5 linked regions of the Danio rerio genome follow. The protein of the gene in region 4 purifies or fractionates together with the protein of the main gene of each other region. This does not show direct contact. Links are inferred from orthologs where the notes say so. Each region holds a gene or a part of one and is shown on either strand. Other genes may lie near its edges. The genes, in order: ybx1, ccnt1, mettl16, mepceb and lsm4.

Region 1 (3,602 bases), on a different chromosome or scaffold from region 4:
AGTTCGACGTGGTAGAAGGGGAGAAGGTGAGCTTTTAGTCGTAGCTTAGTTTGACTCAAACAAAAGTTTCACCACACAGTTAGAAATATTAGGCTTGAGGACTTGTTTAATAAAAGTCAAGGACAAATTATTTATTGAGAAATGTATTATTTCTTTCTTGCTTTTATGTAGTACTAGTCAAGCTTTGGGCTTTAAATTAAAATGCATTAAACAGCACAAAATCATAACACAGATGTCAAACTCAATCCTGGAGGGCCGCAGCTCTGCTCAGTTTAGTTCCAACGCTAATTAAACACACATGATAGAACTGAGTCCTTCAAGCTTGTTTAATACATACATGCAAGTGTGTTGAAGCAGGGTTAAAACTAAACAGTTCCTGGTGGGTTGCAGTCCTGTATGGAGTTTGACACCCCTGCCTTGACTTTAATTGACTTTTCGATAGGGGTGGCTGAATATCTTGACTCTTGAATATGTGGAAACTTCACTAGACGCTGCTTGACCGTGTAAGCAGAGTGTTTATTTCTATATTATAACACTTTGTCAGTCGCCATTTCCTAAATGTTCACTCAAGCCTTTTATTGGAGACGTTTACTAGAGCACTTCACAATTCTTTTATTTAAACTGCTTTGTTAGTTTTATACTCTGTTTGTTTACTGAAAGAACTCTGTTGTCAACAAAGACTAAAGCTGAACTGAAATAAATTTTTCACAATAAATGAAAATAAAACTAAATAAAACTAATAAGTCACTGAAAAATGAACCAAAACTGAAAATATTAATTAGCAAAAATAATAGTTTTCAGAGCTAATCAATTGTGTCCGTGAGGTCTTGAATTTCTCTAAATTATTAACTTTGCGTTTAAGACTTTAAGGGCCTTAAAGTATTGTTTCAATTTAACTTTTGCATCATGTTTGAGTATAGGGTTGTTTGATTATAGTTGTATACTAAAGTTTTAAATGTTGTGATGCTGTGTAGTTTATGAAGTTGATAGTCCTGCTGTATTTGATGTCACACTGCTTTGTTTACTGCAGTAATGAAGGCAGCACACTGTTCTATAGGTGACATCTTCTGGATTAACATTGTTAAAGTATATGAATGATGTTTTAGTTTAGGACTAGTTTCTTACAGTCAATATTTAGTGAATCTATTTAATGTCGCCAATGTTATTGGTTCAGACTTGGTGGCGATGAGGTCTTCATGTTTGGTGATACCTGTTGGTTGTCAAGTGCATGATGTACCAAAAAACTAAAACGTATCAGTTTTTGTTATCTGCCAAAATTTGTTAACTATACATGTTGATACTTTTAATATGATGTTTCTCACTTTCATGCCAAACAACAGTTTATGATTTTGCTAATTTTTTTAAGTTGAATTTATATGGTGTTTCTGTTCAAGTCCAAAAAAAAAAAAAAAGCGGTGAAAACATTTGCTTAACTCTAGGTGTGTGAGAATTGCCAAAACTGAAACTAAATGTGTAAGAACAAAATGAAAATGTTGACAGCAAATTAAAAGCCAAACTAAAACTAACAAAGCCATTAATAAAAATGATAAGCTGAAATTCAAAATCAGAGAGGTTATGTCATCAGAACTACTAAAATAATTCTCTGCGTATCCTAAATAAAAATGCTTTGAAGCCGATATTGATTAAGCATCATATTTCTGGCCAGACTCTGAATGACTTACTGGAAAATTCTGCATCCATTATCTAAAGCAACAGCCCATCTATTAAATTAGCGGACACTTGATCTGCATTGTCTTCATTCTGTCAGGGGGCTGAGGCAGCAAATGTTACCGGCCCGGGTGGCGTTCCTGTGCAGGGTAGTAAGTATGCAGCTGACAGGAACCGTTACAGGCGGTACCCACGCAGGAGGGCCCCACCTCGCGACTACCAGGAGAACTATCAGAGCGACCCTGAGGCAGAGCCCCGGGAGAAGAGAGAGGGGGCAGAGAGCGCCCCCGAGGGGGAGATGCAGCAGCAGCAGCGCAGACCCACTTACCCCGGCAGACGGCGCTACCCACCATACTTCGTGCGGAGGCGTTACGGCAGACGCCCCCCCTACACCAACTCACAAAGAGGAGAGATGACAGAGGTATGCTTTTGGTGATGCCTGAGCATCAGTCAGTAAATTAAATTGGAAGCTGCTTTTTTGACTGATGGATGCTTTTCTTGAATTTTAGGGTGGTGAAGGTGAAGAGAACCAAGGGGGTCCAGACCAGGGCAACAAACCAATGAGGCAGAACTACTACAGAGGCTTCCGACCAAGGTTTGTATGTCATAAGAGGAACAATACTGCTGCTGGACTTTGGAGATCTTTCAGATATTCATGATTTTCATTATTTAAGTTTTCTTTTTCTATTGTTTTAATTAAGTATTAATTTAGCAATTCTATTTATTTATTTTTTTAATAGAATGATCCACCCCAAATTACAAGTTTCCTGATAAATTACTCTTGGGTCATTGAAGTAGGCCTGTCACGATCAATATATAGACTTACTGCACAACACATGGACTTGACCTCGATCATTTTTGGTGATGCAGTATATATCGCCCATACATAATCAGTTCTAGCAACGTTTTAACTGAGCAGCCTCTTTATGGTTCTAAACATTGTAGTAATTCCTAGAGTATATTTTTATGTGGATGACTGACAGCTGAAAATAGATCTGCTAACATATCACAGACTTTGTTACTTATTACCTTGCACTTTTATTCTATTTAAATTTTTTGTTAACATTTTATTGTTTACAATATGCGTTTCACACTTTTTGATTCCAGTGCCTGATTATTAAATAGTTAAAATGGCAATTAAACAATCTTAAGAATAAATTGTGTTCTTTGGAAGTGTATTTGTTTTGTGGTTAATATATTGTCATTCTGGCATTATTTAATAAAAGGCTTTTAAAATGACAATAATATTGTTTATCACTATACATTTTGGTTCAAAATGTTGTTTAACAAAAAAATAGATATTGTGACAGGCCTACGTCTAAGATGTAGATGACTTAATTTTTCTTCTCCTTTTTAGCTAAATCTGTGGTCTTTGGGGATTTTATATTAGAGCAGTAAATGGTTCTGGGTTTTCTAGAATAAAAATAAAAGCATACAAAAGAGTCAATCAATATCTCTGTGCAAGTGTGACTAGTCTTTATGATTTGATTTGTCATTTTTGATCTTGATTTATGAAAGTGCAAAGGCACTCATTCAAACAAGTGATGCAGTTTTTGTATTTTGATGACTGACTAGAGTCGCACATGCACCAAGAACTGTTTTTAGCTTTCTACAGTGCGGTCAAACACTGTAAAGGTTCAGTTTCAGTAAATGAAAACGGTATTTGTTTTTGTGTGAACCCTTTTTTTTTTTTTTTTTTTTAAATCTCACAAATCAAACCTCATTATGTCCATCCTGCACAGTCGAGCTTAGGAAGAATAAAGCTAAACCATAATACTGCAAGATACACCGAATAAGTGCAAGTCTGGAGCATTTTGCTTTTTAAATGTTTTACTAATTAACCGCACCCTTTTTTTTTGTGTGTGAGAAATGAATTAAAAGTTACCTCATATGTTGCTTTTAGTATTAGGAAATTGCAATGGTAAACTGCATTC
Region 2 (4,223 bases), about 9.2 Mb from region 4:
TTGGATTTTAACACTATTTTTATTATTATCCATTTTAATCTTTTTTTTTCATTTGAATAATTTTAAAGTTTATAAATAAATAAAAAATACACTTTTTCTATTTTATACTATTTAGGAGCCATGCAACAGGTAAAAATCTACTTCTCTCTATCTCCCATTCAAGTTCAGGTTGCTTTATTGGCATGACAATTTGTACAGTATTGCCAAAGCATATTAGATGCAATAATAAATTTATTGACATCAAATTAATAAAATATTTTATAATATACATAATAGAAACAAGGAATAAATACAGACAAAAATCTGTAAAATTCTCAGGTAATAAGTATATTATTTAAAAAAGATAAATGAGTGTAAAAAAAATTCTAATGGTGTACAAATATTCTGCAACCAATTAAGATGTAATTTCATCCGCTGAGTATTTAGTAAAGTCATTATTATAACTAAAGTAAAGTCTATGTGTGGGAAGCACTGATGAAATTTCCTTGATGGAAAGATGACTGAGGGAGAGGAGGTCTATATATATATATATATATATATATATATATATATATATATATATATATATATATATATATATATATATATATATATATATATATATAAATATGTATATATATATATATATATATATATATATATATATATATATATATATATATATATATATATATATATATATGTGTGTGTATGCACTGTATGTATCCTGAGCCAAAAAAAAACCCACCAAAAATTCCTTGTTTGCGTGCACAGCTTTAAAACTACTTTGATAAAAGGTTTTGATCCACTCAATTTAAACATTGATATTAATAATTAAGGTATAATAATTGTTTAAACACTTCAAAACAGTAGATTTTACTCTATTTAAGATCAAAATGTTTGTTTGCAGTATTTTAGTTTATTTTTTTACATTTTTAAAGATGTTCACAACTCTACTGATCCTTCACAAACGTCTAAACCGTACTTCCTATCCAATACAAAGAAGTTATCTGTAAATGAATGCAGAAATGGAGGCAAAGCTACTTACTTTCCAGTTTCTGGTGCGTTTTAAGCGGCTGGGTGTCTTTTCCAAGATCTGCAGGAACTCATGAGTGAGCTCTGTGAAATAAGAATTCATTTTTTTTTAGTATTTGGACAAAAAAATACTCAATATTTATTAAATTTCTTCATAAAAAAGAAAAAGAAAAGAAAAAGAAAAAACAAACTAGATGTACATACCATCCAATAGCTCAAGAGTCACAGTGGGGTCAACATACTGCCACCAGTGTTTGCCATCTGTGGAAACGGGAATCTCCCAGTTGGACCATTTACAGGCCAGATGAATACAAACACAAGCTACAATTGGTGGACTGTACTGCAGACAGAACGTAGTCAAGTGAAGACTGAAAAAACACAAGAAAAAAACAAACATATATTTGAGAAACCATTAATAACCTTGTATTATTTAAAAAAAATAACCCAATATTGCATGTGACATTACTTCTAAATTCATTTAATTTGCCAGTTGAAGGTTAAACGTAAATATAACCTCACACTTCTTGCATACAGCAAATCGTGTACTTGACTTTGCTAGTTTACATATTCGGCAGCAAATGTATTAGAGTAGTAAGGTAATGGTCTTAAAAGCCGACATACCTGTTTGTTGCCATGAAATATGAAGTCTGAGCCAAATCCTTACTCGCTGGAACAATAAAAGGAAAGCTCATGATCAGACGTGAAATCTGTGAGCTTGGTGTGCTAGACGTACCCTTTACTGAGCAATACGAAGCACAGTTTAGAGTGAGCAGCTGGTTCTCACCTCGCACAAGCTGAGTACACTTGACAACATGTGTGTGAGGATGATCAATGGTGATCTCAAAACCTGAACGCAAGAGAGCAGATGAGAGAGAGAGAGAGACACTATTTTAGCTTTTCGTCTGAACTGTAATGGCTCCTCAGACATGAAGCCCCACACACAATATACAGGATGAGTGAGTGAATCACAAACATGGGTCTTCCAGTGCTTGAGCGGTCAGAAATCTGAGAAAGCTCCATGCAAGTGGCCTGTGGGGCAATTTGGTTATAGTCAAAACGCTCAGACCAAAACACCATTACGAACATGAGAACAGAATTTTTCAAAGTCAAAGCGAAATAAACACAATTGTGCACTTGAGGGTTATCATGATATGATGTAGGCAGGTATGATTACCAGCTAAATAATCAGTTTAATATAATATAAATAGTCCTACATAAGAAAGGGTAAAGCTCATATGAATAAGCACTAGAATAAGGATAAATATTGGAAAACTGCACACTATAAAAAGAATTAAACAATAAAACACAACAATTAAAATCATATTTTTTCCAGTCAGAAAGATAAACTGTGATTTATCTTATAGACCATTTTAATATGGTGTATTTTATTTTGGTATATGTAATGTCATTGGCCCATTAACTTTTCCTGCTTGCTGTCAAACTATTTCATAACTGTAACTAGAGCCGATTTAATCATATCTTAACGTTAAAACAGCTGTCATAACATTATCAATGTGTGGACATTTCTGGATTTTTGGAAGCTATGGAAATTAAAAATGTAATACAGAAATTAAGTTAGGTCCATTGTTATAGTTTACATCACTCAAACTTATCTGTATATGGGTCGAAGACATCATCAGAATGTGTCCTGGTTATTTTAGAGCCAAAAATTTATCACAATTTTCAATGGCTTACAAAAGTCACCCATTAAAATGTCATTCAGTGTAACAGTTTATATGAAAAAAAAACTTCATATAACCATATAAGAATCAACTGATGAAAGTTTTACATGCCCAGGACACGAAACAGTACTTTTAAGGATCTCCATGCAGCTATAAAATGCTTTAATTTGGTAATCAGCAGTCCTATGACCCACTGGGTGTACAAAATTAGCATGTTACTTAATGACGATGGAGCAAGAGTTTTATTTTGACATTTATATATTAATATATTTGATTATTTATATATATATATATATATATATATATATATATATATATATATATATATATATATATATATATATATATATATATATATAATATATTTATATATATATATATATATATATATATATATATATATATATATATATATATATATATATATAAGGGCTGCACGACATGGGAAAAATCTGATATTGCTATATTTCTGTGTTTCACAAGATAGTTTGAATAGCACTATTTGATGGTTATCTGGGAGTCTAATAGTATTCAGGTACAAAAATGAAATAATCACAATGCAAAAAAAGCTTTTCTTACTTTGCTTTGACTGATTTCTAATCCAAGCATCCAAAAATTCTTGGAGCATGCAAAAATATTGTATTGTCTTTAACTTAATTTAAGAGTTAAAGCAAGCTAAACTATCTGCCAGTGGGGCAAGTACAATAAACTTGCTTTCCTTTTGAAATGTAAATATTTGGACTGGAAACAAGACAAAAATTTGAAGCAAGAAAAACACTTTTTTGTTAGCAAAACTCATTTAAATTCCATAGACATACATTGATTAAATACAATTCTATAGTTTCTGTTCAACTATAATTCAGACTTAACATTGCAAATCTTGCGATGTGACTGTAGCGGATGCGCACATTGTGATATTGATAATGAAACAGTATATTGCGCAGCCCTAATATAAATAAATACATAAGAAGATTCATTACTTGCATTTTGAAAATGTGTTTGATGCGCAGTAGTGGACTCCAAAATGGGACCTCTAGTCTTTGACCCATATATAGTACAAAGATAAAACTATTAGTGACAAATATTATTTCCTGTCTTTGGCAGTCACACATTTTAACCAAGTAGTGCATTTGATTTTTTTTTGCACACAATAATGCATACAAGCTTTTTTTAAGCAGATTGAGGCTGATACTGGTATATTATTACCCTTAGTCCTTAGTGTAGTAGTCAAGATTATACTCTTAGCACAAAAATTAAAGCCTTTGTAAAACCACAGAAAGGGTGAGCGGCCAGATTGGCATGGTGATGATGCTCAATAGTCCTGTAGACTCCTGTGAATTATCAGTGAATGGGAACAAATGTGGTCATTGGTGCATCTCTCTAGCATGGTGATTCACTGACCCATTCTCTCCTTTCCAAACTTACCCAGGGTCTGGAGTATTATGCTCTCAAGAATGACCAGGTCTTGGGCTTGTTGCAGGTATGTCTGAGATTGAGAGGACAGGCAGGTTACTCACATGGTCTCTT
Region 3 (4,994 bases), on a different chromosome or scaffold from region 4:
CAGACACTGTGCTAGCTAATCAAGCTCTTACCAGGCTTTCTAGAAACATCTTTGCAGGTGTGATGAGGCAAGTTGGAGCTAAAATCTGCAGGACTCTGGCCCTCCAGGACCGAGTTTGGACATCCCTATCCTTCAGCCCCCTAACCCTTCTTTATTACTCCACCCACAAAGAGTGACAGCAGATCAATAAACTCACTACAGTTTGGTAAATATTGCAGCTGTTGGACAACATAATGTAATTTTAGGCTTTTTTTTAGGCAACAATGTTTAGATTTTATTTATAAGGACAGTGCCGATTTTAAATATTTATAATTTTGGAGGTACAGCGCTATCTACAAGATGGCGACAGAGACCGCATAAGCCCTTAGAGAAGACAAACCAAGCGTAATTTCTAACTACAGCTGATCAAATCATTATGAAACAGGTAAGTGACTTCTTAGTCGTTCTCTCTCTTTTGTACGTGTAGTTCTGTACTTATACCATTTAATTGTAGTGTATCGAGTGTCAGATGGGACTCGCATATTAGGAATATATGTATTTTGTGTTGGCCACTCTGTGTATAACCCCGAGTTACTTTTTGGTTGGCCATCTGTTTGTTTCTAATGAGTCTCCTTTTTTCCATTACTGCAGACTAGTTCTAGAAAGAAAGAAAGAAAGAAAGAAAGAAAGAAAGAAAGAAAGAAAGAAAGAAAGAAAGAAAGAAAGAAAGAAAGAAAGAAAGAAAGAAAGAAAGAAAGAAAGAAAGAAAGAAAGAAAGAAAGAAAGAAAGAAAGAAAGAAAGAAAGAAAGAAGAAAGAAAGAAAGAAAGAAAGAAAGAAAGAAAGAAAGAAAGAAAGAAAGAAAGAAAGAAAGAAAGAAAGAAAGAAAGAAAGAAAGAAAGAAAGAAAGAAAGAAAGAAAGAAAGAAAGAAAGAAAGAAAGAAAGAAAGAAAGAAAGAAAGAAAGAAAGAAAGAAAGAAAGAAAGAAAGAAAGAAAGAAAGAAAGAAAGAAAGAAAGAAAGAAAGAAAGAAAGAAAGAAAGAAAGAAAGAAAGAAAGAAAGAAAGAAAGAAAGAAAGAAAGAAAGAAAGAAAGAAAGAAAGAAAGAAAGAAAGAAAGAAAGAAAGAAAGAAAGAAAGAAATGTGCTTAGCATCTGTTCTAATTGAAAACACAACAGTAGTCTGGTAGTATTTGCGCTGCTTTGGTTTTTTCTGAGTGAATTATTGTGATCTCCCGATAGCAACAGAGAAATACTGGGAAATGTCTCTAGACTGATGACATTTCATGCTTATCAGCCTTATAATCTTAAAATATGAGCAAAATCACCTGTTTTGTCGTCACTTTAGACAATACACTAGATAATTATTTAAATTCTAGCTCAAAAGTGATGTTGGTGAATGAGCAATGGTTTTTGCTGTTCTGACGTCAGCTGCAAATGTGAACAAAAGGTTTTAGACTCTCTGTCTTTGATTTTCTTTTTTATACATACAATTATGCCATCGAACTGTTGTATAAATGCAACATCACATTAGTAGCAGTGCGATGTAGCTGTATAGTATCACTGGTGGCACTCTATGTACACCTCCCACCAGTGCCAACATACAGCCACATAGCACTGCTCCGAGCATGATATTGCTCATATATTTATATAGTCTTTTTTCTACTTTTTAAATTATTAATTGTGAAACTATTATTCTCCTTGGATATCTCAGTTTACACCAAAAAAAAAATTAAGAAACAATGACAATAACTCGCCATTTTTGAACACCACTTTTAGAATTAACATTTTAAAGAAATTAAAATGAAACTTCATTTTAAAATTAGATTACATTTTTTTTACTTTTTTTTTCTCAAACACACCAATTTTTTTTTACCTGTAGTCTACATACATGTATATCAATATGATAATGAAATGAGAAACTACCTAATACATTTAAGAGTGATTACCAGAAATATAATCGTTTAAAATCACATGTAACTTCTAGTCAAACCCTAACAGAAAAAAAGTCTTCTACAAGAGTTCACAATCCTTTGAGGACTCACAGATCAGTCTCTCTTTCTCTCGCAATGCCAGAACAGAACAACACTTTTAATACCTCACATAATAATGCCTCCAGCAAGTCATATGACACCTTTCCTAAAACAAAAGCACAACATTACTTACGTAACTCTGCCGGTCAGTGTGGTCTGCACGTGCTTCTGGAATTCAGGATATTTGGAGGCCAGGTAAACAAAGTCTGGTGGTTTGTCCTTGTAACGGTTTCGGGGATGCATAGATTTATTCAGCGCCATTCTTCATGAAACTGCAAACACAGAATGAACATGACACCTTCAGAAAACCAACAACCACAAACAGATTTCCAAAAAGATCTTAAGGATATTTGTCCTCTAAATTAAAATAATTCTCGTGCTGTTTTGTATCTGTATGAACATTGTAAACAGATTCAAATAGAGATATTCAGTCACCATTCACCTAACTTTACACTATATGCAAAATAGTGACTGAGACTGTCAGTTTCTAACATTGTGCCTACCTTCTTTTAGTTATACACGACAAAATATTGTATATTTACCATATTAACATGGTATAATATTACATGGACTAAGACAGTCATATGATTGGGAGAAATAAAAAAACAAGAGCAAGGGTAATTAATGACATCTGATTTTGTGGTGAACTCCTCCCTTAAATCTTGTTTTGCAAAGCCAAAAATTAAAGTGCGACATTTATATGCTGTTTTTCAAAACACATATATTTATAAAAAGATCGAAATAGATATGTTCATAAAAGATATGTAACGTTAGATATGTTAAATACCACGTTGTCACTGCGCTTGTTTGGGTGTAATGTACTATACGAACCTAAATCACAAGTGTTTGTAGACAATCTCTAGAGAAATGATGCTAAAACTAGCCAAATAGCTAACAGTTTTACCACAAAACATGCATATGTAATAAACTGCGCATGCGATAGTGTAACGCATCGATAAATCATAAGAATAGATGAATACCGATAGATGAAAACTTCAGTAGTTTCTCAGTGTTCAGCACATTCAGCTGTCATTGGCGAATCACGTTGCCTCAACGTTGTTGTTCCCGGGTTCCGCTGTCGTCATAATTCAGCGTCGGCGAACGCTTATGGTGTCATAAAGTTATTTAAAAATAGTGACATTTCGTTTTTGACACCTGCGTGTAATTGAGATGCTTAAGATATTTAAAATATATTCTTTACATGCAATTTCTTCAGTGTCTGTGAAGAGAGTTGCAGCAGTGCAGGATAACTGGTAATTTCACCATCACCTCAGGTACACTGTAAAAATGCCTTCATTTTCAAGTCATCTAAACTTACATCAAACAAACCGACTAAAATATTAAGTTATACTCTGTACAACTTTAAAAAATAATAATAATTGAAACCATTTGGACTTTCAAACAGAAAAACATCAGCTGTCTTGATTTTAGATGTTAAATCCAGTTCCTGGAGGGCCGCAGCTCAACAGTTTATTTACAACCCTGCTTCAATACACCAACCCTGTGTTTCAAACAGAATTGTAGGACCTAATTGGTTTGATCAGGTGCGTTTAGTTCAGGTTGGAACTAAACTGTGACACCTGTGCAGCGTAGTATGAGCGTGTATGTGTAATGTAATTTTCTAATGTAATTTTTTTACATGAAGAACATATTATTGAACCTGGCAGCAATTTTCTTTTTTTCAGCTGCTCATTCTACTCAAATGTATTTCAAATCATCTACATTACATAGTATTTTAATTTGCATATTTAAAGTCCATAACACTTCATTGTTTTCTACCTTTAGATTGCGCATGCAAATTTGAAACCCACAATCAGAAATTACCACATTTATCATAATCTGTTAATTGTATTTCCAACTGTAATAAAAAAAAAATTAGATTAAGCCTTTCCTATGCATCTTTACAAAGACTCTTAAACCACACAAACTCACACCTATACCTTTGAATATATATTATTTACTCATGTGGATGTCTGTCTTTTAAGAACTAAAAAACAGAAGAATTAAGAATTTTAATTAAATCTTTTAATTGCACATCCTTATATATTATGTACATTTCTTTTTAGTCTCCTAATTTTATAAGCATCAAGTTCCTTCGTTGTATCTTGCATTAAATGATAAATCCTTCTACTCTGTATAAAAAGCATGCATTATTTTTCCACTCCCATCCAAACACTTAAGATTGCTGACTCTGCTAAACTTCCAAAAACAGAAGAGGCTGGCACACTTTTTTTCTGACCTGTTTGGTTGTTCAAATTCCAAAAAAACTTAAACCCATAATACAAATGATGTGCATTTAGCTATCTGATTTGAAGAGTCGCATGATCCCTGTTTGACTCCGCACACAGCATCAGACACAACATTCGTATTTTTTTCTCTTTAATTATGTTGCAAACAATAACATCCAGATATATTGTTAACAATTGGCTGTGTGAACAGTGATACCATAAAAAGCAGAGTCCCATTCAAGCTGTGAAGTCTGAAGCCTCCAATCTATTCACAAAAGTAATAGCTGATGATAAACCTGTGGCGGGAGGGCGAACCTGCAGACACCACCTTCACCAGTCTGTCTGCCTGTACATGAACTCATCCAGCGTGTGCTGCAGTAGGATTGCTTGGGAACTGCGAATAGCAAACCTTCTCTCCGGCAAACAAAAATAAACAGGACATCATTGTTGTCAAACCACTAAAGGTGTTATAAAGGGGCGGGTTCAATTTAAACATTTTTCGATTACCTAAACATGTAAATTCATTATCATTTACCTTCATGTTATTCTAAACAAGTAATCCTTTTGCTCATCTTCAAAACACAAATGAAGATATTGCATCAAAACAAAGACTTCCATCCCTCCACTAATAGTACATTCTCCCAAAAATGCTTTAAAAGATTTAAAACCTAATCTGTAAGCCTCAAGCGGTTTAATCAATGTCTTCTGAATGGTCAAGATCACTTAATTTTTCTATTTAATTTTGGGCTTGAGGTAA
Region 4 (4,853 bases):
TTTATATATGTTCATGATATAGACAGATGGGTTGATGGGTTGATGGATGCAGATAGAAATATAGATAAATAGACAGACAGATAGAACTATGATAGATAGACGGATGGATGGATGGATGGGCAGACAAGACGGACGGACGGACGGACAGATATGGATGGATGGATGGATGGATAGATAGATGAATGGATGAATAGATAGATAGATAGATAGATAGATAGATAGATAGATAGATAGATGAATGGATAAATAGATGAATGGATGAATAGAGAGAGATAGATAGATAGATAGATAGATAGATAGATAGATAGATAGATAGATAGATAGATAGATAGATAGATAGATAGATGAATGGATGAATAGATAGATAGATAGATAGATAGATAGATAGATAGATAGATGAATAGAGTTAGATAGATAGATAGATAGATAGATAGATAGATAGATGAATGGATGAATAGATAGATAGATGAATAGATAGATAGATGAATGGATGAATAGATAGATAGATGAATAGATAGATAGATGAATGGATGGATGGATAGATAGATAAATAGATGAATGGATGAATAGATAGATAGATAGATAGATAGATAGATAGATAGATAGATAGATAGATAGATAGATAGATAGATAGATAGATAAATGGATGAATAGATAGATAGATGAATAGATAGATAGATAGATAGATGAATGGATGGATGGATAGATAGATAAATAGATGAATGGATGAATAGATAGATAAATAGATGAATGGATGAATAGATAGATAGATAGATAGATAGATAGATAGATAGATAGATAGATAGATAGATAGATAGATGAATGGATGAATAGATAGATAGATAGATAGATAGATAGATAGATAGATAGATAGATAGATAGATTCCATATATAGAAATACAGACAGATGTTTGTGTGTGCAAAATCCAAACATTAATTATACATCCAATAACACACACACACACACACACACACACACACACACACACACACACACACACACACACACACACACACACACACACACGTCAGGAAGATCTGCTGCTTCAGCTATGTTAGTGTACCTTCAGGAAGCAGACGTTGCTGGGGAACTGGCCTGGAGACTGATGCATTATGGGAGGAGCGGCGATGGGTCCGCGGCAGCGCATGAAGGAGACAGGAAACCTGGGTAACACCAGCTGCAGGTCCATCAGCGGCACCAGCCCCGTGACCTCTGACCCCTCACCTGCTCCCGCCTGCTGCCTGTCCTGCAGCTCCGACAGGAAATGGCGCAGGTTCTGGCGGGCGGCTTGCACCAGCGCGCCATCAATGTCCAAGCCCAGGATGTGGGCGGGGCTGCAGTGTTTGGCGATGGCAAGGGTCACATGACCCGTGTTACAGCCCACATCTAGAACTTTTTTTCCAGAGAACCATTCGGGATTAAAAAGAGCCAATCGTGGGTCGTCGGTCATCGATGGTGTGCGGTAGCCATAGTAACGGCTGTAGGCTCCATTATGGTATTTGCGCCGCGGCCTGCGCTGCTGTTCATGGCTTCGCTCCGCCCCCAAGGGAGGAGCTCCGCTGGCTCCGCCTATAACTGGAGTGTGAAAGGTTTGAGTGTGTGTGATTAGCCGCTTGGTGGGCGGAGTTGGTGTGATTGACAGGCGAGAGTCCGAGCGACTGACAGTTCGTCTGCGCTTCCGATGTTTGGACGGATGGGGCGCAGAGGCGGACCTAGAGAGTAATTGAGGGGCGGAGCTAGACGCAGAGGGGTGTGACTTACGCCGTGGCAGAATAGGTTGCACCACTTCATCGCGGCAATTAATCGAGGTGTTGAGCTCATACGGACGCGGCGACTCCTCGACAGGCGGAAGAACGGCACTGTTCGCAGCCTCTTCAGGATTAGCTACAGGAAATAATGTCGTTTCATTGGTTTTTGACTTCTCACAATCTGATTGGTCGGCAACGCCTGTGGTCGCTCCAGGATGATGGCGGTTGCGGTGTCTGCGTCTGATCTTCATTGGAGAAACCAACACACCGGCAGCCGAATCTCCGCCCCTGCCGCTTAAATTCAGCGGGTCTGTAATATCTTTCGGGATGAGAATCTCCACCGGGTCTCGGTTTTTAGAGGGGAGTGGCGATGATTTGGGCGTTTCGGCATTAAGCGCTTTACTGACCTCCTCGTCCAATAGGCTGTTGAGGTTTAACGGATCAAATATATTCCCGCCCAGCAGGAAGTTAGTAGGAAGCACAGGATCGCATTCAGAATTGGCGCGGCGTCTTCGCTTACCGAGACTCGGATGTTTGAACGCCACGTTCATACTGTAGCGCCGCTTCTGCGCCAGTTTCTGCGTCTGCACTTCAGTTCGAGTTTGTAGGCCATTTTTAATCTGAAAGGGCCCCTCGGCGGTAACCCCATCCTGTGGGGTCACGTGATTGGCTGCGAGTTCGGTTAGCACAATGTTAGCGGTCACCTCATCTTTAATGGTCTGCAGTGGGGACGGCGGGTGGGCCAGTAAACCTGCTGCCCCACCAGCAATAGGAAGCTCACTTTGCACTGACATCACAGTAGACATCCATCAGCCGCTGGAAACACAGAAACACACCATTCAAGTACAATATACAAGATATAAATGTGTGACGCTTGCAGATGAGTACTTACTTGACTACTCTGAGCCTGCTTTCTGTATTGTTTTATGGGCACTGATGTGCTTGTGACCCACGTGTTACATTTGGCTCATCTAACAGCTCCACGGCGCGTTAATTTAACTAACTCCGCCTATGGGCGGGGCTACCGCGACGCTCATGAATAATGCAACGGAAACGCGACTCTCGAAAGCTCCCCCCCTTTCCGACACAAACGCACACGTCCGTTAACACAGACACACACACACAGTACTGAGCGAGATATTTTCTCCGGCTCTCTCGCGCTGAGAGTAAACACGAACGCCAAAAATCAAACAAAAACAGCGCACACGACACACTATGTACACAGACCCGCGCTCATTAGAGCTACGTAAACACACAGCTGCACTTGACTCGCGCTACTGCAGATATGAAAAACACTTTGCTAAAATGGTGCTGATTAAAAATAGACTTTGATCTGTCGAATGTTCATGAGCGCTTGAACTCGCAGTGCTCCATCTCGCCCTGTGGCACAGCAGACCAGCGCGCTTATATATTCCACCACAGACCAAGCCTGACGGACAGTCGCGTCTGCCAATCAGAAAGCGCGATATACGTTAAGGCCCCTCGAACAACCAATGGCGGAGCTTTAAATGAAGGCATGTGCTCGCAGTCACCGCCCCTCCTCTTTTAATAGGTATCCAGCGGACTGCCTGAATTGACCCGTTAGACACTAAATATTATCGTCAAAATCAGTAAAATATAACAAATTGACGACAAAATGCATTTGTTTATTTAACAAGAGTATGTGTTTGAGCAGAATCCCATAATTCTGCTTTGGAGAACGTTCGGGAACTCGAAACAGGCAGTCGTCACATGTGTAAACAACCCCTGTGAGAGTTCTTCCGCGCTGAATTTACGCTTATAACAACGACTAATGATCGGATAACTAATAAAACATGACTTATGTCATATTAGCATTTTATATCGTATGGAATTAGCGCCTCTGCGAGTTTTAAAGAGACCCTCCCACTCTGCTGCAGGAGGAGGAGACTTCTGGGAGATGTAGTCCTTTTGATCTGAACCTGTTGCCAAAAACAAGAAAATAACAGCATAATATGATTCATTATTTTGATTATTGTGAAAGAAAACCCACTTGAGTCAGTGGATTCAGTGTATGCATTATTAAATCATTATTTTTGTTTGGCAGGACTGGTGTAAATGGCCTAAATTACACACATTTAGCTTATTTACAGACAAGAGAGAAGAAGAGATAGCTAACTAAAGGTATAGAAATATATTACAATAAGAGTGTCATATATGTGACCCTGGAACACAAAACAAGTCATAAGTGTTGAGTTTTAGAAAAATAAGCTGAATAAATAAGCATTCCCCTAGGTATGTCTTTTTTAATGCCAAAATGAACTATTTTTGATAACATATGAATAAATTAAAATGACTATTCTGAAATTTGAAGGTAGATAATGGTATTATACACTGAGAAAATCACCTTTAAAGTTGTCCAAATTAGGGTCTTAGCAATGTATTTTACTATTCAAAAAATGAGTTTTGATATATTTACAATATAGACATGTATAAAACGTCTCGATGTATGATGATGATCACTTATACTAATGATTTTTGGCATAGAATAAAAAATAATTTTGACTAATTCAATGTATTTTTGACTTCTCCCCTACATATACACTCACCGGCCACTTTATTAGGTACACCTGTCCAACTGCTCGTTAACGCAAATTTCTAATCAGCCAATCACAAGGCAGCATGTGCCAACAATGCCTTGTTGATGCCAGAGGAGAATGGCCAGACTGGTTCCAGCTGATAGAAAGGCAACAGTAACTCAAATAAGCACTCGTTACAACCGAGCTCTGCAGAAGAGCATCTCTGAACACACAACACGACCAACCTTGAGGCGGATGGGCTACAGCAGCAGAAGAGCACACCGGGTGCCGCTCCTGTCAGCTAAGAACAGGAAACTGAGGCTACAATTCACACAGACTCACCAAAACTGGACAATAGAAGATTGGAGAAACGTTGCTGCTCTGATAAGTCTCCATTTCTGCTGCCACATTCAGATGATCGGGTCAGAATTTGGCCTCAACAACATGAAAGCATGGATCATCCTGCCTTGTATCAGCGGTTCAGGCTGGTGGTGGTGGTGTAATGGTGTGGGGGAGATTTTCTTGCCACACTTTGGGTTTATTAGTACCAATTGAGCATCAACGCCA
Region 5 (4,849 bases), on a different chromosome or scaffold from region 4:
TTACAATTGTTAATTCTTTTATAGAAATTAGAGTCGACAGATTTTGATGAGAAAAAGAAGATAAACAAAAGGAAGCAGATGATTCTGGATGGAAAAGTGAGTTATTTTTAAAAAAAACTTGTATATTTGTATGTTTCTTATAAAGTATTTTTGTGTACATGCATAATTTTACAATTTTTTTTCCTTGATTTAATTTTAAATCTATTGCAGGATCCTGATTTGGAAGAAAAAAGGAAAAATGAATTAGAGAAGATCCGAGGAAAAAATAAGAAACTCAAAGGAAAAAACCCCCAGAGCAAAAAGGAAAAGAAAAAACATGAGAAAAGTGCAAAAGCGACAGAAGTTGGCTCTTAATTTCCTCTCTTTTGTACAATTTAATATTATGTATATAGCGTGAATATGCTTATATTTAATAAACATGTGATGCAGTGTTGACTGTGTTGCTACATGAATGAATGAATCTGTGTTGATTTTTTTATTTTATTTTATTTATTGCTTTTTTCTGTGATTTCCTACATCTTTTGGGTTTAAAATTTTTTTTCACAATTTAGAGTTTTTACACTTTTTTTTTATTTTATAGCATGTCCACTGTAGTGGACCACAGGACCATTTTAGATAGAGGTAAAGCTGTTTTTCTATTCACATATTCCTTTATTTAGAAGTCTCTATATTGTTTACCATGTTACTTTGAATATTCGATCGGAATTAGCATGCAAGTCTGACTTCTAAACAACATTAACACTATCTAAATCACTGTAAACAATGCTGTACTTTAATAATCATTGGCTACTAATACGATTTCCCAATTTAAAATTTGCTAAGAAAACTTTTCTAAAATTATATTACTAAGGGGAAAGTCTGAATGCGAATATAAAACCAACTTTACCTCTATCCATTTTGGTTCAAAACAACCGCCAAACTCGGACAACAAAACTCTACAGGATATGGCTGTAAAGGGATATTAATCCAATATCAATGTAACAAAAAGAAAACAAAAGCCATTTTTTCCTTTTGTGTTGAAATTCCTGAAACAGTTTAGTCTAAAAGAGAGCCAAACTCAAAAGAAAAAAAGAGGTGATGTTAATTCAAAACAAATTTAACATAAAAGGTATTTATTTAATTGTCTGATTGTCAGACTTTAAATCCGAGTCTCCCTCAACTATCTTATAAAGAATCCTTTCTGCTTCCATTCTGCCCCTACAACATGCAGTCATTAATTACATTAATATGGTCCTGGTGTCCTTGAAACTTTCTGCATGAAGGACTCATAAATGGCAGATTAACCTGCTGCTGGATGATGTGTGGATGATTTACACGGGGCATAACTAAGCAACACAGCGATCTGTTAAGGAGGAAGTAGTAAGTCTCAAAGCTTGCATACTCTTTTGTTGCACACTCAAAAGTATAAACTTTTCCTTTACAAAAAAGTACATACTTTTTAGGGCGTAGTATAAATATGTGATTTGGGACGCAGCGTTTTGGGACTTTTGCTTTGACAACTTCCGCTTTCACCTGGAAGTACAACAGTAAGTGGTTTGCAGATCGCCTTGTGCTGCGAAGAAGATTCACAGAAAATCATTTGTGATTGAAGTCTTCAGTGGATTAAAACTTCATATAAAGACTGATTGGTCATTCAGCTGACATGGTGAGATGAAGTCGATAAACTTACTGGCTAACGTTAGTGAAATTAAGATTTTCCGCTGTGTTTATTGGATGATCTGTAGGTCGGTTAACACCGATTACGCGCAGAAACAAAGCGTTGTGTAAACGTTTTATTTGGGTGTATACACGAATCTTTACAAGCACGTTACGTACTTATTTAGTAAAATAGATAAAATTAGTTAAAAATCAATGTAGACGGCTATTATACATTTATTACTCTATTAAATTATCTCTACAGACATGCGAGGAACTTCAGAAGTCAGAAAGGTTTTGGCGTAGTTTTATCAAGAATATCCAAAGTCGGTTTTATATTCGCACATTCGTTCAGTGACAACTTGTGACATGCTCCCTACCTTGTTTACCATGGTACTTTAAACATTTGGTCTAAAATCACATGCAAGTATACTTGTGTATATGACTTGAAAACATCATTAGTGACCAGCCCGTCAACAACCATGCCACCTTCATAGTCACTTAAATCCCCTTTCTTCCAGCTTTCTGATGCTCGATTTAAACTAACGTTACAGCAGATCATCTTGACCATGTGTACATTCCTGAAGGCATTTCGATTCCGCCATGTGATTGGCTGATTAGAAATTTACGTTAATGAGCAGTTCGACTGGTGTACCTAATAAAGTGGACAGTGAGTGAATGTTTAAAATATATAAGCAATGGTACCTAAATAATCAAGTAAATCATCTTGCATATAGAGGTAAGTTTAGTTTTATATTCGCATATTCAGACTTTCCCCTTAATAATATAATTATAGAAAAGTATTCTTTGCAAATTCTAAATTGGAAAATCAAATTAGCAGCCAAATGATTATCAAAGTACAGCATTGTTTACAGTCAATTAGATGGTGTTAATGTTGTTTAGAAGTCATGTTTGCACGCTAATTCCGATCAAATATTCATGTTAAACATTATAGGGACTTCTAAATGAACGAAAATGCGAAAATAAAACTAACTTTACCTCTATATCTTACGTCAATAGTTTTTTTTGCATTATTATATATGCAGCAGAGAATGCAATTCGCTCCTGTTATGGCTTATATGAATAACAGGACTGAGTTTTTAACATTTAATGATCAAATACATGCTAAATGCTGTACGCTGTAATCTCTCGGCTGTGTATTTTAAACATGGCAGGTTTTTTGTTTTCATTCTGGCTTATTGCGTAGACGAATGACGTATTTCTGTAAACCTAGAACATTCAGTTGCACATCTAGCTCCGCCTTTTGGTACCCTTTCTCGTGTTTGGTATCCTTTCGAAATGGTGCCTAAGAAGTGGTACAGTTCGGTTCGCCTTTTGACAGTGCAAATGGCCATAAAAGCGTACCAAACCGAACCGTACCACTCAGTGAAAACAGGCCATAAGCGATTTGTTTTTCAAATATTTGCTGAATCGTGGGCTAACCGGTGTCTTGAGATGTAGAGGGTCCTTTTCTGCTGGAGATAGTGTTGCTAAATGAAAACTAAATGAAATCAAACAATCAAACAAAACTTGCATATAACATAGAAAAAATATCTGAAAAATAATAGCAATTTTAAAATTTTAAGTTTTCCAAACCGCTGTTAACCTTGAACCCAGTTATTGTCCTATATGCTCAGTCCAGGGTCACATATTCTGGTTAGTGAGTGTAATCTCCAATTGAATAACAATTAACAATATTCCATTGTGAGCACAGAAGAAACTCTTCATTTACTCTGTTGTTAGCATGACCACTCGAATTCTTTCTTTTTCTTTTCTAGCTCCCGTTATCTTTACTGAAGACGGCACAGAACCACCCGATGGTGAGTATCAAGCAGCTCACTTCATGCGTGCATCTTTATTGTCAGCACGAAGTTAAAGGTGCCATGATCAGGGATCATACTGTCCTGAAAAGTCATGGAATTTTGACAAGGCATTTTCCAGGCCTGAAAATGATTTGGAAAAACAAATAAACCCAAAATGTTATAACGATGGTTTGTTCTGTAGACTATTAGAAAGATATATAGCTTAAAGGGGCTAATAATATTGTCCCTAAAATGTTTTTTTATTTATTTAAAACTGCTTTTATTTAAGTAAAACAAATAGGACTATATATATATATATATATATATATATATTTATTTATATATATATATATATATATATATATTTATTTATTTATATATATATATATATATATATATATAGTACTTCAATTAAGAGCAGAGAGGGATTTTCTCGTTGTTTTATTAATTATGATAAAACAGGCGGCAGCTATTGTGCTCTGTCACTTTAATGGTTTCGCTTTCACGCGTCATTTGATTCTCAACTCATTTGTTTATTACACAAATGAGGGTTAATATGAATAATCACTAAATACTGCGTTTTGACACCTGTTTGAACATTAAAGCGCTCACGTTAATGACTTTAGATGTGTGTGCTCTCTGCTCGTCGCAATGTGCGAATAAGACCAACTGCTGACCGCATGCTTCTGACTGTGTCTGTGCGGCGCACACACACAAGCATGTGGTCTTTCGCGCTTTTAAGAGCAACAAGTGAGGACAATTGGACGGGGGCGGTAAATAATGGAATAATCGTTTATCTCGATTAATGTTTTTTTATAATCGTTAGAAGCCGAAATCGAATTTTCGATTAATTGCACAGCCCTAAAATGAAGTGCTGAACAATAATTGAGCTTTTAAGTTAATCTGCTTTTCTTTTCAGCTGGTTGAGTTAAAGAATGGCGAGACATACAACGGCCATCTGGTCAGCTGCGACAACTGGATGAATATAAACTTGAGAGAAGTTATTTGCACTTCACGGGTAAATACGACTTCATTCAGATGAAAACGTCTTTGGGAGACTATTGATTCCTTACAAAATTAAGCAAAACACTTGTTTGTTTTATTTAAACAAATCTGCAGGTTATTTATTTGTCTTGCTGAAATGTGACGGCTGTTTTTTCTGCTTGCTCTGATTTGCAGGATGGAGATAAGTTTTGGAGGATGCCAGAATGCTACATAAGAGGAAGCACCATTAAATACTTGCGAATCCCTGATGAAATTATAGATATGGTGAAAGAGGAAGTGGTGTCAAAGGGCCGTGGCCGGGGTGGCATGCAGCAGAATAAGCCACAAGGAAAGGGCAGAGGAGGTGGACCTGGAAGAGGTGGCGGACCTGGCAGAGGTCTGATGCTTTTATATTCATACAATAGATC

The links.
Region 1: the proteins of mepceb (region 4) and ybx1 purify together in Homo sapiens (affinity purification with mass spectrometry; 3 studies listed by BioGRID and IntAct, with this or other methods). This does not show direct contact. The link is inferred for Danio rerio from reciprocal best matches to the Homo sapiens genes MEPCE and YBX1.
Region 2: the proteins of mepceb (region 4) and ccnt1 purify together in Homo sapiens (affinity purification with mass spectrometry; 3 studies listed by BioGRID and IntAct, with this or other methods). This does not show direct contact. The link is inferred for Danio rerio from reciprocal best matches to the Homo sapiens genes MEPCE and CCNT1.
Region 3: the proteins of mepceb (region 4) and mettl16 purify together in Homo sapiens (affinity purification with mass spectrometry; 3 studies listed by BioGRID). This does not show direct contact. The link is inferred for Danio rerio from reciprocal best matches to the Homo sapiens genes MEPCE and METTL16.
Region 5: the proteins of mepceb (region 4) and lsm4 purify together in Homo sapiens (affinity purification with mass spectrometry; 3 studies listed by BioGRID and IntAct, with this or other methods). This does not show direct contact. The link is inferred for Danio rerio from reciprocal best matches to the Homo sapiens genes MEPCE and LSM4.

Annotation. Positions count from the first base shown.
Region 1 is NC_133183.1:56,873,621-56,877,222, reverse strand, and holds part of ybx1 (Y-box-binding protein 1), read left to right. Parts: coding exon 1-26; intron 27-1,768; coding exon 1,769-2,089; intron 2,090-2,177; coding exon 2,178-2,263; intron 2,264-3,602. UniProt on the Homo sapiens protein: DNA- and RNA-binding protein involved in various processes, such as translational repression, RNA stabilization, mRNA splicing, DNA repair and transcription regulation.
Region 2 is NC_133198.1:38,760,395-38,764,617, reverse strand, and holds part of ccnt1 (cyclin-T1), read right to left. Parts: intron 4,183-4,223; coding exon 4,122-4,182; intron 1,862-4,121; coding exon 1,636-1,861; intron 1,383-1,635; coding exon 1,219-1,382; intron 1,099-1,218; coding exon 1,028-1,098; intron 1-1,027. UniProt on the Homo sapiens protein: Regulatory subunit of the cyclin-dependent kinase pair (CDK9/cyclin-T1) complex, also called positive transcription elongation factor B (P-TEFb), which facilitates the transition from abortive to productive elongation by phosphorylating the CTD (C-terminal domain) of the large subunit of RNA polymerase II (RNA Pol II).
Region 3 is NC_133190.1:27,742,830-27,747,823, forward strand, and holds the start of mettl16 (RNA N(6)-adenosine-methyltransferase mettl16), read right to left. Parts: upstream 3,109-4,994; 5' UTR 2,841-3,108; intron 2,282-2,840; 5' UTR 2,271-2,281; coding exon 2,143-2,270; intron 1-2,142. UniProt on the Homo sapiens protein: RNA N6-methyltransferase that methylates adenosine residues at the N(6) position of a subset of RNAs and is involved in S-adenosyl-L-methionine homeostasis by regulating expression of MAT2A transcripts.
Region 4 is NC_133198.1:47,985,071-47,989,923, reverse strand, and holds the start of mepceb (7SK snRNA methylphosphate capping enzyme-like), read right to left. Parts: upstream 3,132-4,853; 5' UTR 2,642-3,131; intron 2,566-2,641; 5' UTR 2,556-2,565; coding exon 1,065-2,555; intron 1-1,064. UniProt on the Homo sapiens protein: S-adenosyl-L-methionine-dependent methyltransferase that adds a methylphosphate cap at the 5'-end of 7SK snRNA (7SK RNA), leading to stabilize it.
Region 5 is NC_133186.1:6,965,403-6,970,251, reverse strand, and holds the start of lsm4 (U6 snRNA-associated Sm-like protein LSm4), read left to right. Parts: upstream 1-1,527; 5' UTR 1,528-1,642; coding exon 1,643-1,645; intron 1,646-3,413; coding exon 3,414-3,455; intron 3,456-4,356; coding exon 4,357-4,455; intron 4,456-4,616; coding exon 4,617-4,818; intron 4,819-4,849. Other genes in the region: probable ATP-dependent RNA helicase DDX49, read left to right, coding at 25-96, 211-354. UniProt on the Homo sapiens protein: Plays a role in pre-mRNA splicing as component of the U4/U6-U5 tri-snRNP complex that is involved in spliceosome assembly, and as component of the precatalytic spliceosome (spliceosome B complex).